Caenorhabditis elegans: one gene and its partners. The protein of the gene in region 1 purifies or fractionates together with the protein of each later gene. This does not show direct contact. Each region holds a gene or a part of one and is shown on either strand. Other genes may lie near its edges.

Region 1 (7,830 bases):
TCCGATAACTAGAATGATGATTCCGACAAGACAAGTCCACAGCAACGTTGGAATAGCGTGAGAGTACTTATGTGCAAGAATCAGAAGAACATCTACTACCCCACGACTTTCAAGTGCTGAAACGATTAGGAATTTTATTGAATCCTGTAGTTGAAACTTACCGTTGTATACTTGTTTAGCAGTCTCATCCAACAACTGAACAGTGACAGGAACACGAATCACTTGACCAGTCAACGTGTTCTCAACAGAAATTTGGCATTTCTTTGCATGTTCAGTGAACAGAGCTGCTGATTTGATGTTGAGACGGATGTTATAGAACACATTTGCCTTTGCAGAATGTTTATCACTTGATCTTGAGGTTTTCTCGACCGATACAATATCTCCTTCACATCCAGAAACGACTATGTGCTTCGAGTCGTATGTAGGCGCCCAGATGGAGAGAGCTGCTTCGATTTGATTCATATTTGAGAATACGAGCTGGAAAAAGTAAAATATTAAAAAAAAACTTCGTGTAACTGACCTCCTTCTCCTCGACAATAAATGCGAAATGGAATGGAACATCAATTGTAGCATCATTTACTTGTACTGTACCATCTGAAATCCATTTCGCAGTAATTCTAGCATCAAATTGATCTTTCAATAGTTCCTCGGGAACAACAATTGATGAAGTTGAGACACTCGAATCAAATCGACGAATTTCACACCCATAACCAAAAACTGGGCTGAAAACTGCTGAAACCGTCAGCCAATTGACAGCCGAAATGATCTTCGAACGACGAGTGAAAGCAACTTGACATTCAAATGGAGCACCAATCGCATCAAATGATCGAATTTGATCAGCAGTGCACTCTGAAACAACAAAGATGAGGATGAAATGTGAAACAACAGCAAATCTCACCTCCATAAATTGACGAAACTTTGCTTCCTGAAGTATTATTGGTTGCAGCAATGACAGGAATTACGAATACCGAATGCTCATCATTGCTCACAAACTCTGGTTTCTGACCATCAGGGAAACGAAGAGAAGATGGCAATACAACGGAGATCTTCGAATGAATTGTTTGTTTATCAGCATGAAGTCTGATAAAAGTATTTCCAGCCTTTGTGAGTTGTGCAACTCCGAGATTCTCATCGAGCCAACTGATTCTTCCTTCACTTGAACTTTGAGACGACCAGCGAGATCCGTCTACAGTGAAAATGTTTGATTGAAGACAAATCACATCAGATACAACAAGATCGTTTGCATACTTGTGAGCAGCTCGAGGAAGGATTGATTCAGACGCAGAAAGACGAATAAATGTAGCAATGTGGGTATTTGAAGCATCACCAATTCTGAGAACAGTATCTCCAGCGGTTTTCAGTGTGATTGTCAGTGTCTGATTGCTGTTGGTGGCGACAATATCGGTCAAGTCGAATCTATAAGAATACCGTGAATATCTTGGATCTTAAAAAAACAATTTTCAAAGATCGGAATTTTCCTTACCTATGTGGTCTGAAATTGATACTGTTGGAGGCAGCCGCAAGACGACGACCTCGAGCATCACGTGGAACAACGTTTAGCTGGATTTGGGCTCCAACAGGAAGATGTATGAGTGGAGAATTCTCAAAAGCACTTTTAAGTTCAATTGTTGGGTGAACATCGAGAGAAGCGACACGAGAAACCTGAAAAAAGGGAAAAGTGAATCTACAAAAATATAGCGTTTCTTACAGTCACAGGAATGAGAACAGTTTCATTATCCGGGCTGTTCACATTACGAACGGTAATTGCAGCTGATCCTTCTTTTCCGTTTGTTATCAAATGACCGTCCGCAGAAATGACGATCCGGCTCGAGAAATCAGAAGGAACTGAGAAAGATGCTTGAGACCTGTAAATAATAAAGTTGAATTAATGAAATTAGAGTTGTTTAAAAGGAGAACAATCTGCAAAAATATTCACTTACCATGCAGTGACCATCTTCAATTGAGAATTTGGCGCCACTCTGACAGTATTAATATCCATTTCTGGTTGAACTAATGAAAGTCCATCTTCCACTGTAATTGTTGTTTCAGCGGTGAAAGTAGAGGTTCTTCCAGTGAAATGCTTTCTTGCCTTCTCATTAAGCTCAACAACCGCTTTCACTGTAACCGATCCTCCTCGAATAGCATTGAACCAAATGGCAAATTGATTATCAGTTGGTTCGACTACATCTCCACCGAGGGGATGAGTTGTGAATAGAACAGATGGATCAGAAACGCTCCATGTTACTTTGAACGGGTAAATGGCTCCACCAAAAGCAAATGGTTCTTCGTCTTCAGCTCCGGCGATCACTCCTGAAGAATAAAAAATAATTAATTTTTTTGAAAGAAAAGTGTCACATACCTCTTAATCGTAAGTTTACTCTTCCACCAGTTTCCACTTTCCTGCTTGACGCTGACAGAATAATTCCACCGAGAGAGGCAACACGAAGAACAACAGTATCCAAGGTAACATGACCATCACCAACACGAACAGTTCCGGTAATTGCTGTATATCCAAGTTCTGACGACGTAATAAGTGCATTAGGCTCAATGGATGCAATCATTGAATTATTCAAGGAAAAATCGAGTGGTGGCGTCGGTTGAGGACCTCCAACGACTTCTAACTGAAATTTGGAGTCCGGAATCAAAGTCAATCTTTTTGGTTGCAAGAAAATAGGAGAGAAAATCTGAACGGTGTGTGGTCTAGATGAGAGTACACGTCCTGATGAAGATTTTGATGATGCGGACAGCGATACAGTTCCAATTGAGTTGGCACGAAGAGTGTAGCGAAGTCCGTCAACTTTGGTCAAAATTACATGATTGTTACTTGCATCGAGTTGAGCGTCAGCAAGTGGACGATGTTCTTTTTCGAATGAAGCTCCAGTTTCGTCTTGAGCCAGAATCTCTACTTCAACTTCTTGTCCAATTTCCACAAACTGCGGTGCGTCAATCGCCAATGAATGAATATCAGCAATTCTTACGGAAGCATCGGCATGTTGCCCAACCAAACAAGCATCAGAAATACGAAGATTCACTTGTCCATTATTCTTCGGCGTAACTGTGAGACTTCTTGCACGGAGAGCAATTGCAACTGGTGAATCTGATGTTGGCAGATTATCGACATGGAAATGGCCAGATCCACCAGTTATAGTGAACGTTCCTTTTGAGACAGCTTCATTCCAAAGAACGAGACGTGCTGGTTCGACGTTCAATCCTTTTTTCACTGTGATTTCATATTTAGTGGAGAGAGATCCAGCTTGAGCTTGAATAGTAACTTGGCCTTCTTTCTATAAATATATTTATGTGAAAAAAAACTTAGTTTTCAGAATCAACTCACCTTTCCAGAAGTCGCATCTGCCTCAATTCCATGACGATTAACCGTCAAAAGACCAGAATCAGAAGTAGTCCATTTCGGTGAAAGCCCGTTGATTGAGGCCAACGGAGTTGCAGCTCCATTACAAACTCCTGATCCACGGAGAACGAGTTCTACATTTGTATTGATAAGCATTGAATGAACATTCAATGGGCACTTGGATGGACGTTGTTTCTTGTCAAAAATTTCAAGACGAGTTGGCTTTGCGCAACAAATCGAAACTGTAATTTCAGAGTGAATTGGAAGTGGAAGCGTTGACGATTTGAGGTTTCCAATACGAAGACGAACAGCTTCTGTTACTTCTGAAGATCCACACTTGAACAAAACTTTTTCGTTTTCAAATGTGACTTGAAGTTGCGATTGCTTTGTTTCTTGTGTTTTGTAAAAGTTTGCTGGATCCAAAATCCACGGTCTTGGTCCACCAGACACAGTCAATGGGTGAGTACTTCCGAGTGCAATTGATGAAGATTCTTCGGAAATAGACAATTTCTCGTAGACTGCTACATCGATGCTCGCTTTGTGGCCCAAATAACTGATGGACACTCGGGCATCTCCTGATGACAGTCCTTTGAAAGTTATTGTTCCACAACCAGTGCCCATCATTGGAAGCGACGAATCAGCTGAAGACTCGTGCCGAAGCAACGCATTATCCGTAATTTGAACATGAGCACGGATATTTCGACAATCGGACATTTCAACTAAAAGTCCATCAGATGTGAGTCCGGTTGCCTTGATATTTAATGTAAGAGTATCTCCGACGAATGTCTCACGGACAGTTTCTCCAAATCCGATTCCAGACACTTCGAGAATATGAACACTGGCAATGTCACGAAGCTGATCATTTCTCTTATCAGTTGCTTTCACTTTAGTGCTTCCTAATGAATTCGCAGTCATTCTTCCAGTTAGCAGATCCACCGTTGCCACGTGTCCATCTTCAGAAGTCCACTCAAACAATCCACTGCCTCCAGTTGCTGTTAGATCAATTTGTGATCTTTTCTCAGATACGAATGGCAAATAGATAACCGGTGGAACAATTCTCACAGGATCAACGATAGTTACTCGCTGCTCTCCGCCAATTTTGCCACTTTGTGCAATTCGATTTCCCTTGGCATCAATAATAGCAACAAATTTGGTTCGAAGAGTAGTTTTTGAGGGTTTCAGTGGAGTCACAAGGAACCAGGTACCATTCTCAGACTTGAAATCCACATGAAGAAATTGCTCATCGATATGAGTGTCGAAACGGGAATTCTGAAAAGTTGTAAAATTTAAAAATTGACAGCTGTTTTTTGTTCAATTTTTCAGAGCTTAACTTACATCAGCAACAAACATAACATTTCCGTGCTCATCAAGAAGTTCAACGTTGATTGTATACTGTTTTCCGGTTTCTAGCATCCAATTATCTCCTGAAACATGCCATTGGACAGATTCGGCGTCTACCACATGAATGACAGTAGATGGTGGACGTAATCCAGCTTTAGCGCGCACATCGACATCTGAAAAATTCTTTTTGAACGAGAAACATCCATTTATGCAACTCACGGCTGCTCAAGAGATGTACTGCAGTGTTTCCAATCGTCAGAGCTCTCACAGATGAACTTTTTTTATCGAGCGACGCCACATCACCACCATCAATTTGAAGTTCGTATGACGGATTAGGCATGTTCACTATTTCTGTTCCACGCTGCTTGACAATTAAAACTTGGAATGGAAGAACTGAGTGAACTGGCAAGTAAACATCTTGAGATGGAACCAAAAGTAAATTTGCGACGACGGCGAGTTCGACGTTGTGCGCTGCTACTTTCTGAAAAAAAAAACATCCTAGGTAAATGTAGTTTTGCAGATTGCTCACCTGCAAATAAGCATCACTGAACTTGGTTGTCAATGTGGCTGTTCCTGTTCCAACACCTTCAATCAGAATTAGATATCCTTTCTTTCGATTCTTTTCCAGTTTAACAATTTCAGAAGGAGCTTCATATGTTGATTGCTCGAATGGAACAATTCGTAGTGGTTTCGCTTTATTTGAAGATGTTGATGCAAGCTCCCATTCCAATGCAATTTCACTGAGAGTAGAGAATCGATCGCCATCGGCGTTAAATGCGTCAACAGTCATTCGAGCAGGGGCAGCGTCCACGAATAGAACTTTCGTTGTTGTTTCGATGCTAATAGTTGCGATCTCATCTACTGTCACGCCGCAACTCAATGTTGTGCCGGATCCTTAATAAAAATTTTAAAACCAACATTTCACAAAAATTATACCTTTATCTTCTGCAAAAATAACAGCAGACAATTCCGAACTTCCAACAGTTCCAGGCTTCGCAACCGATCGAATTTCAGCTTTATCCGAACATCCAGCTTCGTTAGTTTCGATACGTTTAACAGAGACAATATCGGGACGAGTAGATCTCCTGCAATTAAATATATTAAAAAATAATTAGATCATTTCATTGAGTTACCATGTAAAACAACCTCCGGTTGGATGCGTTACTTCCAGCACAAATGAAACTGGGACCGTTGGATGGTACGGTAATAAAACTCGAGGAACATTTAGCCGGTATGATATTGTGATTTGCACTAAAGCCAAAACGAGCAGTGATCGAAGTATAATCATTGATCTATTCGGCTCTCCTACCTACAAAAAAATTAATGAAAATTTCTCTTATGGAAAAGGAAAACAGGTGGAGATGAGAGAAATTTATGTATTTAATATAAAAGTTAAAGTTAATTAACTATAGTGATCATGCATTAAATAAATAGTAGAATAAAAAATAAATTTAGCGATAACTCAGATCGGATTGAAGAAAAAAGAAACTGAAATTCTGCGAAAAAATTCAAAATTATTTCGTTGTACGCAAACACGGCGCGGTTCTTCACGACAATGAACCAATTTGGTGACCGTAGTTCATAATTCTAGATTCGGAATCTGAAGAAAAAGCGTAATTGGGGAAAAAACATGAAAAAACATGAAATTAATACCGTGAAATAAAATGCGCTTTTTTCCTTCTCGATCAAAGATATATTCATATTACCTCAAAAAAAATTTTACCTAACAAATTTGCTCGTAGATCTCTTTGTTATGGTTTTTTCCTGATATTTTCATTTCGACACATATTGCGACAACACGTGTTTTCATCAGCAGAAATTATTTGACAGTTATTTATTTTAAGTTACTTTATGATATTTTCAATAAAACGTGCTCAGAAAGTGCACAATGAGACGTTTCTTCTCGAGTTTCTATGTCTCCAAGACCCGGTTTACGAAAACCCGTGTTGTCTCGAATTATTGCAAGCGCGCTCCACTGCACTTCCATTTTTGCGCGAAGAAATGTTTTTGCAGTTTTCCTTGAATTTTTGTGGGGTTTTCAGAAAAACACTTTTAAAGGCACAATTTTGTATTTTACGTTAAGATTTTCCTAACACGTTCTTTTTTCCAATATTTTCAAGCCAGAACTGTTTTATTTCACGACAATTATTGCAGGATGGCATCGTTTCGTAAGAATCACGTCATTATTGATTCCTCAGACTCGTCGGAAGACGAGGATCGCAAGGTTTGTTCGAGTTTAACATTTGAATTTTGCTTTAAAATTATTGAATTTCAGGAAAGACACAGCTCCTCATCTGAAGTCGATGAAACAGCTTCAATGAGATCAACTGATAGCTCCGAGCCGCCCAGGACAATTATTGATGCCTCTCTGAATTCCATGGCTTCAACCGTGTACACATCAACTCCAAACTCCAAGCAGAGCATCTCCAGAACCGGTTCCTCCACCACCTACGGGAGCTCTAAATGCTCCACAGACGATCACTATCGTTCGAGAAGCTTCATTGACAACAGCTTCGAAAAACCAGTGACCCCGATCACCAAGAAGCTACAGGAATCCGATGAGCCCCGCGCAAAGCAGCAGCTCCGTGAGCGGCTCCTCAGAAAATCCATCAAACAGCAATCGGATCAAGATCTGACAGGTGGCTCATCGCGAAGTGGATGGGGAACTGGTGAAAATAGCAGTCTTGAAAGCAGTGATCTCATAAATTCGCATTTTTCGCCAATTGCGAAGACGTTCCGGCATGCTTCCGATTTGGATGATTCAATGGTAAGAATGGGGAAACATTGACCTAAAGCTGGCTCAAAATTCAAAATTTCCTTTTACTTTTTTCCGATATTTATCCAAAATTTCACATTTTACTTGCCAGAAATTATCTAGAAAACGATTTTTCAAGCGAGAAAATCACTTTTTGCAAGTTTTCAAGCCAACGTCTGACGTGTTTAACCAATTTTCGCCCAACGGAATCGGCTAGTGCTTCGGTATGTGACATAGTAAATTGATATTATTATCTATATCCTCTTTTTCGATATTTTCACAAAATTTCAGCTTTATTGTCAAAAAATATATAAATTTACAGAATACCTCTCCGCCGCCAAACCGTTCAACTCTTCCCTCGGTTGAAACAAGTTCTGGAAATTCT
Region 2 (4,000 bases), 460 kb from region 1:
TCCTTGTCCCATCAACTTATTTTCTTTTGTTCTATATTCTCATTCATCTCAATCGGTTTATTTTGGTTTTACTCCACACACAGCCCCGTCCCTCCAATAGTTAATAATGAATTTATTACAAAGAAATTCATAAATATATAGAAATCCCCCCGTTTCATCAAATTTTGTATAATTTTTTATTCTGGAAAATACCCAGAAACTTACAGCAGGGTGTCGTAGTTGTTTCATTTGATTTATTATTGAACTCTAGCTTTATCGATTTTATCAAGTTTTCCCCTCAGCAGATGCAATTTTTCTTCGAAGAACCCACTTGTGATCCTCCCCACACCGCACCCTTTCTTCTTTTTATTCAAAAGATTTTATTCTCAAAAATCTGAATTTTTTGAAAAAATTCGCTTTTTATCCACCACTCTTCCATTTTTCTTGTTCTTTTCCCAAAAATGTTTTATACAACAAACAAAAATTGTGATTTGATTAGTCTTCTCTCTTACAGCTGTCTCCCAATCAATTTTTAATAAAAACACGAAATCCAAAATTAATTATTTATATAATTCAATTATAATTCAGTTTTAGCTAATTTTCAATGGAATAGGCACTTCATCCGGTAGATCATCTCCAAGATCAACATTCACTCCAAGTGCATTGCATAATGAGTAAAGAATAAGTTTAACGTCAGCATGAATTGCAGTTTCCACGATTTTTTCCTGAAAAAAAGGAAAATCATTAAAATATACGAAGCTTCAAGAGAATTTAAAATTGGAATAGCGCCGACGGGAATTTTAAAATACGTAGAATGGTCCTGAATTTCATGATAGAAATTGATTCAGATAGGGAGCCGAAACCAGTGGTTTTTCTCAAACTTTTTGAAATTATTTTTTGGACATTTAGGACAAATCTGCGTATTTTAAAGTAAAATCCCTATCGCCGCAACGAAAACTTTGCGAATGGAAGAATGAACATACATGTGCAGTTTCCTGATAATTAATTGTAGTTGTTTTAATTCCTTTTGATTTTGCATCAAGTGGTAGAGATCCCATTGGAATAATTTCAAGTGATGTTCCAATACAAAGAAGATGAGATGTTTGTTTCCATGCTTTTCGGATTCTGTCCAAATGATTTAAACTGATTTCTGTATCCCAATCGAGAGTTGCATCACGAAGTTTACCACGACACGATCGCCCGGTTCGTTTGTTTCCTTCACAATTACGACCAGTTGGACACAGGCCAACACTCATTACAATTTCCTCTCGTACATATTCACTGTAAAACAATATATTTAACACTTTCGATGAGAAAAGTTTAAGACTTTTCCAAAAAATGTTCTTGTAAATTAATTGATTCTAATATTTGATGCTAAAGTTTTATACTATATATTCCGTTTGTTTTAAAATTGTCAGAATTTAGACGGCGGTTTTTGTGAAGTGAGCTAGAAAAATAAGAACCTTTTTTCTTTATTTTTCACGTTAGATCTTTTTGAAACTTGAAACTTACAATAGACTTGGATGGGTTTTCAATAGTTCCACCGAACCGATTTTTGAGAGAATGCACCTAACTCATTTTATGAAGATGGTCGAGTTTTCCGTGGATTGATTTTTAAAATATACCTAAAACATGATTGACAGACTTCTAGAAATAAATTTCCATGTACTTCAATGAGATCTTCAACTGGAATCCCGACTTTTCGATCCAATCCATCAACATTCTGTGTGATTATCGTTTTGATGTAACCCGCCTTGTGAAGTGCCAATATTGATTTGTGTGAGACTCCGGGACGAGCCTGTCAAAATTTTTATTTATATTTAAGAAATGTTTTTTTTTTATTAAACAACGTACAACTTGAAAGTCCACTCCTTCTGCATGTTTTCCTTCAGCTTGTAATGTCCAAACGCCTTGTTTTCCTCGAAAATCTGGAAGTTTCGATCCAGTGCTCACACCGGCTCCGATAAGAACAAAAATTGGTTTTCCGGTTTGTTTAGCTTGGACGAAATGGTTGTACAAAGTGCGGAGTTTCTCAATTATTTCAGTTTCAGTGTCTCGGATCTGAAAATTTTGAATAAGAAATATTATACTATTGTGTTTAAAAAATCTTTTCTTACTCGAAACGGTTTTGTATTTTGCAGATTTCATTTTTTTTTTGTATTTTATAAAATGTGATTATTCAAAGTTTTTTTTTGGCGAAAAGGGATAATTCTATTATACCTTTTTTTGAACATTTTTGTACTTGCGTTTTGGGCTCAAACTTTTTACGGCTTTAAGATAAATCCAAAGTTCTTTTTTTTTGTTCTTAGCAATTTTTAATTTGAAAAAAAAGTGTGTTTTAAGTGCAAAATCGATGAGAATTTCTTTTTTTTTTCAATTTTTTTAAAATTCAGAATTAATTTTAATACCTCAGGTTTTCCAATTACTCCTTTGTCTGGATAGTCTGATAAAAGACTTTCATAAACTGATGTCATTTTTCTGAAAACAAATTCTTCATTTCTTTCAATTTCTGATAAAACTGGCTAATTTGAAAATCGATGAATTTTCTTCTCTAGCAAGTTGCCTTTTTCGAAAATAAACTCACGAGCCTTGAATCCATACATAATAATTGTATTTTATAAAAAAACACAGTTTTTTATAGGGGAACAGTAAAATTTATTAGTTTTGTACTGACAGTGAGAGAAAAACCATTGAACAATGAGGTAGTGAACGTAGACAGTCGGCTAATACAAAAAAAAGACAATTGAGAAAATTAATAATACTAGTTGATATCTAAATGATTATAACAATGATACAAATCTGAGACATTATAATGAGAGAAAATGGTCGAAGGATTTTCAATATTTAGCACCTTTTTTTAGCATTTTTAGCTGCTTTTATTGAAATGTTGGAATATGAACAGCCGATGCATTCCATAGCTGTTGAGCTAGTTCCTGATCTCCTTGAAATACTGGAAGTTTTGTCAAATTTGCAAGAAGTGGTCCTATTGATCCAAGAAGAGAATCCATTAGAAGATCAAGTGAACCATTTACAGTACCAACTTCATCAGCTCTGGAAATATTTAACGATTTATAAAACTTCAAATTCAGGTTGGTACCTTGTAACAGCAGCAGACCGTACAGCATGAGCCATCATTCGAAATGCAGCTGCAGAATCAGCGGGAGTTGTTCCGAATTCTCGTTCTGGTGATGCATCGACTCTCCTTTTCTCTCCAGTCCACCATCTTGCACGTTTCTCCATTGCACACGGTCGATATGATGCGGAACGATCATTGAGAGGAGATGTCGCTGAAGAAAAGAAAGTATTCAAAAATCTTTTAGATCATGGGCGCCGTCGAAAAAAATCCGATTTTTTGAGGTTTTTAAAGACAACCGATAAATTGAAAACAAATTTCAGAAAATTTACAAAAAAATTCAATTTTATCAGCAAAAACAGAACACATACAATTTTATTCGAAAAGAATCTACAATTTTCGATGTTCTAAAAATTGAAAAAATCAACAAAAAAATTGTTTTTTTTTCGATATTTCGAAAAATCTCTTGAAATTTGGGTAATTTCTCTTTTTCAGAATAAATTTATTTATTTTCTTATGTGTTTTGTTATGCCTTTCAACCCAAAATTTGATCTTTAAAAAATTGAATTTTATGGTTAATTTTTTGAAAATTTTTTTTTCTCGATAACACGCTAGTTTCTGATTGATCACTATCGTTAAACATTTAGAGGACAAAAAACGTACATCTTTTCTTAACATCATCCTCAAATGGACTATAATCTCTATTTTTTCCTCCAGTTCCTGCACCCAAACCATCCTTCTTCCTTTTCGTATACTTTCTTCTTTGTTGTGGAACAGACGATGTTGCAGCAGCATCAAGCGCCATTTGAGAAGCTCGTGCAGCATTTACAGCTGCTTGCTTTTCTTCAACTTCTTTTTGCATTTTTAATCGAATTTTGATATCATTTTTAGAGGGACGTCCAACTTTTCGTTTCAATGAAGGATATCCATCATCTTCTTCTTCTGAAA
Region 3 (5,225 bases), on another chromosome or scaffold:
GCATTGAGAACAGTAAATTTGCATGAGAATATAGAAAAATTTTCTGCGAAAAAGCTGACGTTAAATATACGTTGCGTAGCGGTGAGAATGCAGATAAGGGGTCAACGAACAAAACAATAAGGAGAACACATCGAAAATCAAAAGATAATGAAGAGAACGACTCGCCTTTATAGACATTTTGCCGCCATTTGTTTTAATGAACTCTGCTCTTTCTTTTTTCGAGAACGATCGAAAGATCATCAAAACACAGTGTGTAGTTTGATGCCGCGGGTCTCGCAACGCTCCGGTTGAGACAGGTGTGCGCCTTTAAGTATACGGTAGGTGAGAATCCTCACTGAGGATATTTTCAGGCATGGAAATTTTCAAATTAAATGAAGAAAATATCTAAATCAAAATTTAAACCATCAACCTCTGCACAGAAAATTTTTCCTTTCCAAATATACATGGTAGTCTTGCGTCAGATCGGTAATATAGATCTTCCGCAATCTGATGACCTCTTCTTGAAGAAGATCTTCACGTGAAACCCACAGAAATCAGAAAAATTTGTTATTTTCAAATACTGCACGGATACAATCGTGTCTGTGAAAGATCGACCGGAAATTTAAAAAAAATGAGAAAGAAGTCAGAAATATAGTGATAAAAAATGGTAATCAAAACAGGTATCAAACAAAAAAACAATGAAATAAAAATTATTCGACTTTGAGATTGAGTTCTGCGTAGAAAGCTTTGATGAAAACCATCCATTCCTGATCGAGCCCGAGGTCATTATTGAAGCTTGTGAAGAAATCGTTGAAATTTGTGGTATCGTCGAGTCTCACGGCGGCTTGTGCAAGAAGGATGAAGAATTGCGGGAGGAAGAGATTCCGAATCTCCTGAATTTCTTTCCGGTGTACACGCATTGGATCTCCATTAGCACGTGGGCTCAAAAAGTACTCCGGGCGCACACCAATATTGTTAACCAGCCCACGGAGCATCGGAAGAACAGTCTGAAATTTCAATTTTTTAAAATTTTTTTCACAACAATTTATTCTAAAAATCCTACATCTAAATGTTGTTGAACCATTCCAACTCGCGTATTATGCTCGGCGGCTCTCTTTTTGAGCACCTCTTCCCGCAGAGTTTGCTCAGCACGAGCTCGGACTCTCAGTGAAGCTTCCCAGTCAGCAGCTGTGGTGTTGTCGAGTCGTTTGACTCCTCCGATCATGGAAAGCTCATCATCAGTGATCGGTGTGTACTTGAACATGAGCCCAAGTTTCAGAGCAATAGTGATCATGAAGTTGTTCACATCCTGAAAATTCGGATTTTAAAATGGCCAATATGAAATTGAATATTATTCAGCAGCGAAATTTTGAGTACGGGGTCTCGACACGACAAATTTTTGTTCAATACGAGACGGTTTGCACCTTTAAAGATTACTGTAATTTTAACCAGTGGTTAAAGATTCCGCTGATTTGGATAAGAAATCATACCACGAAAGAGCAGAGCCCATAAAATTCCAGAGCCGCGTGTTCGATTTTATTAATTGCCAGCTGCGATCCAGGTTTTTGCTCAAACAGGGTTCCATCAGTGATCAGTGAAAGTACAGTTGCTTCATTTTCAACAGCTTGTGACAATAGCTTAGGAACTTCGAAATGAAGCGCTTTTCGAATAATTTGCCTAATTACAGACTCGTCAATCGGTGTCGACAGCATCACTTTACGAACTAGTCGATTACATTCTTCAAGAGCAGCCAGTGCAGTCTCTTCTCCACCTATCAAAAGCCAATGCCAGTGATCAATCTGCTCTTCCAAAGTTACAACCTTCGTTTTGTCATCTTTTCTGATTTGCTCAATAAGTGTGCACGCACAGCGTCCGAAATCAATGTCAGATTGTTTCAGCGACTCAGCCAGGATTTCACGTTCTTCATCAGAATCGACAGCTGAAAAGAGAATTTTTTTAAAAATCATCATCAGTTTTTAAATTACCTTTCATAGTCTCCACAATCTCTGGAAGCTTCATATCTTCTGGGAGGAATCTTGAATAAAATGCAGCCATTTTCTTGTGTGATGAGGTTCCACTGCGTGCACGAAGATCATCGAATCCAAGAATAATTACAGCATTTCCATCGTCATTTGGTTCGAAACCACTCGCATAAGAAACTGCGACGAGGTGGAAGAAGATGTCGAGTGCGAGCATGTTCACTTGACAATTTTTATCATTTGGAACAAATTCTCCGACTGTTTCATTTGCGAACTTGTACAGATCTTCAATGTCATCATTGAGCATGTCATCGATCACTCGGAGTAGGATGTATACTTCTTTGGTACGATCAGCCTCTGATCTCAGCTCATCTAAGATTGATTTTGAAGTTAGTGGAACGTTGAACAACGTCGAAATAGTTTCCTGTGTCATGGCTCCCTCGGCGGCAAGAATTCTTGCGAGAACTGCAGAATTTGCATATGCCCATACTTTTTCAATCACTGACTTTCCAGCTTTTAGCATTGGTTGGATATTCCCACGAATCGCAGAAATCAGCATCCAGTAAGCATCATCTTCGCTCCCCTGCGATTGTTCTATCAATTTCTGTGTCATCTGGTAGTACTTTGCGCGTCGAGATCTTTTATATTCCCCAAAGTTCTGTTTAGATGCCTCTAGTGGAATATCAAGTGGGTTCCGGAGCATCGAGTGAAGCTGAAGTTGAGCTCCGATCGCTCCCATTCCTAGATCAATGGCTAAATTCGCAGCTTTGGAAGTTTCTCCACTTCGAATTAATTGGAAGAAAACGTTCATCGCCATTTGCTCGAGAGCTTGATCTTCTTTGGTACCAGGAGCATCTGGATCCAGTGAAGCATCTTTTGGAGCATTGGCTGCTCCAAATGTTGGTCGTTTCAAAGCCATCATTGAATTGATTCTAGAAGATTTGATTCCTTCGAGTTTCCGAACTTTGTCTCCAAGACCTTTTTCATATTGCTGTTCGCTGATCGCTTTCTCACTCCAAAGAAGAAGAGCCTAAAAAATTAGAAATTATGTGTTTAATTGAATAAAAAGTCTAAGATCTTACATAAATCCTTCTAAACTCCACATCTTCTACAACTAGTTTGCTAAGCAAAGAAACTTCCACAGTCTCATCATATTCATGAGCCAACGCGGTATAAATTGAAAGAACACTGGCGATTTGCACGGCTTCATTCGCGTATTTTTGTGAACTGGCGGAATAATTAGATCCTGCAGGAAGTTTTCGAGTCTGCATTTCTACTTCTGAATAGATCTGAAAAAATATTACATTTATCAGAGGCCTTTTTCAAGTGAATCAAACCTCATGAAGTCTGGTCCACATAAGTGGCGAGATTTGCCCTTGAGGAATATCGAACTCTCCGAAAGCCAATGCACATAATTCGTGGTACAGTTTTTCTGAGAGATTTGTGTGAACTGCAAATTATATATTTTTAAAATAGTTTTCCTTTCGCATCGAGTGTTAAACTCACAAATTGTAGTGTATTTGAAAGCGGTTTCATTTTTGCGCGCGATTTCATCGTTAGAGTCGTCGAAGGAGTTGGAAGAATTGTCCCCCGAAGCGAACAAGTCTGTCATTGTGCTAAAAATATTTTTTTAAAGGAAAATAAAGTTTTAAAAACTACATGAAACAGAAAAAAAAATCGTTTTACACGACGAAAACCCTTCGAAATTTGAAAATTTTTGCTTAAACGAAAATAATGGTAGTGCGCTCCATTGAGAACACAATGCGCGGACTTTCAAAAAAGAGGGGTTTATTCAGGTTTTCATAACTTTTTTGAAACACAGAAATGGAAGAAATTGCAATTTGAAACTTTTCCGAGTAGTGCCTTTCATCTTCAAATTGTTTAATAAGGTGCAATCAGCTATAAAAAACAAAAATGAGAGCCGACGTTATGGGTTGATGAGAGCTCTTATTTTAAAGCACATCGTATTTTTGCGTTCCAGTAGCAGCTATCCTCTAAATCATCTGTTTTGTGTGCATTGTGACTGTCTATAAATCGATCAATACGTGCTCCTACGCTTGCGTTTGCTACTTACATAAGGATATATTCTTTGAACCACATGTTTTGTGTGAATTGAGACTGTGTATAAGAATGTAAGGAGGAGAGGGGCCGTTCGTATCGTTCGTCTTATGCACAGGCTCAATGCACACAAAACAGGGTATATTGTATACTCAAATTAGAGAAAAACATATGGAGAGGACAATAGACCAAAGTTTTGATTTAATAACTAGAATGGAACCATTTCTGGAGCACTATTTCGTACGAAAAGCTTGCGGCTTTGTGCAATCAATCTCCTAGGACTTTGGCGGCCTGTCCATTTTTGTTATGTTCGAACAATTGAAAAAGTTATTTTTTTAAAAATTCAGGAGAATTCTATAAATTATTTAAAAAGTTATATTCAATATGTTGGACTGCTTTCTGTTTCTAGGGAAGAAACCTACACCTCCTCCTCTAAAAAGTCCTTATAAGGGGACTATAGACCAAAAAAAAGATTCCTTGTAAAAAAATGTTTGCCCTTTTTTGGTACTTCCTTCCTTGGGCTTCTCAAGTGTAATCCATCACATCAATTACACCAACCGACAAGAAAACCAAAAAAAAAAAACGAAAAGATGCTAGTTTTGCATGGGAGCCGTAGTGCACCTCTTCTTTTTCGTCTCTCTTTGTTTCTGCCTCTCCACTCCTTCACCCACTATTTCCAGCTCACCGAGCCATATTTAGTAGCTTCATATCTTTAGTTTATCAATCATATTTGTTAAAATTAATTTCGAGTATTTTCATCGCTAAATACCTGCTTTTCAAAATCGTCGCCACCTATTCCCAAAATCGATCACCGGATTTTTTTCTGCCGACTTCAGTTAAAAGACAACACAAAATGCAATGGTAAAAGGTGAGTTTGGAACAAGTTCTGCAAAAAAAACGAGAGAGAAGACCCCCGAAACTTGATAGTGTGGGAGAGGAGGAGCATAAGAAAGAAGAAAAAAAAGATGTATTGAATTTCGAACATCATGTTGAATTACAACAAAAAATACGCAGATATTTTCAACTTTTTGCGTTTATTAAAAAATTAATGCATATTTTCAAAATGTTTAAAGCCGCTGATAAACGTTCAGATTTAAATTAATGAAAATTTTTACAAATTTCTAATAGTATGCCAATTAAAAATCAATTAGTTTTAGGCTTTCCATTGAAAGTAAACTTTACAGAAAAATCTCAATTTGTACCATTTGG

The links. The genes of interacting proteins can lie anywhere in the genome.
Region 2: the proteins of npp-12 (region 1) and sir-2.4 fractionate together in Caenorhabditis elegans (co-fractionation; one large-scale study listed by BioGRID). This does not show direct contact.
Region 3: the proteins of npp-12 (region 1) and npp-5 fractionate together in Caenorhabditis elegans (co-fractionation; one large-scale study listed by BioGRID). This does not show direct contact.

The regions. Positions count from the first base shown.
Region 1 is NC_003279.8:6,445,480-6,453,309, reverse strand, and holds the start of npp-12 (BIG2 domain-containing protein), read right to left. Parts: upstream 6,007-7,830; 5' UTR 5,979-6,006; coding exon 5,824-5,978; intron 5,776-5,823; coding exon 5,627-5,775; intron 5,585-5,626; coding exon 5,220-5,584; intron 5,172-5,219; coding exon 4,910-5,171; intron 4,864-4,909; coding exon 4,685-4,863; intron 4,619-4,684; coding exon 3,335-4,618; intron 3,285-3,334; coding exon 2,360-3,284; intron 2,311-2,359; coding exon 1,941-2,310; intron 1,866-1,940; coding exon 1,709-1,865; intron 1,663-1,708; coding exon 1,484-1,662; intron 1,417-1,483; coding exon 899-1,416; intron 850-898; coding exon 521-849; intron 478-520; coding exon 162-477; intron 117-161; coding exon 1-116. Other genes in the region: T23H2.3 (Transcription termination factor 2), read left to right, coding at 6,846-6,914, 6,966-7,457, 7,768-7,830.
Region 2 is NC_003279.8:5,989,198-5,993,197, reverse strand, and holds sir-2.4 (NAD-dependent protein deacetylase sir-2.4), read right to left. Parts: upstream 2,458-4,000; 5' UTR 2,454-2,457; coding exon 2,388-2,453; intron 2,041-2,387; coding exon 1,834-2,040; intron 1,778-1,833; coding exon 1,605-1,777; exon of another isoform or gene 1,492-1,604; intron 1,261-1,491; coding exon 963-1,260; intron 705-962; coding exon 570-704; 3' UTR 532-569; downstream 1-531. Other genes in the region: C06A5.3 (PWWP domain-containing protein), read right to left, coding at 2,856-3,030, 3,077-3,266, 3,716-3,994. UniProt on the Caenorhabditis elegans protein: NAD-dependent protein deacetylase.
Region 3 is NC_003280.10:11,596,236-11,601,460, forward strand, and holds npp-5 (Nuclear pore complex protein 5), read right to left. Parts: upstream 3,575-5,225; 5' UTR 3,571-3,574; coding exon 3,465-3,570; intron 3,409-3,464; coding exon 3,296-3,408; intron 3,248-3,295; coding exon 3,041-3,247; intron 2,989-3,040; coding exon 1,965-2,988; intron 1,919-1,964; coding exon 1,470-1,918; intron 1,289-1,469; coding exon 1,043-1,288; intron 987-1,042; coding exon 690-986; 3' UTR 532-689; downstream 1-531. UniProt on the Caenorhabditis elegans protein: Involved in kinetochore assembly and chromosome segregation during embryonic mitosis.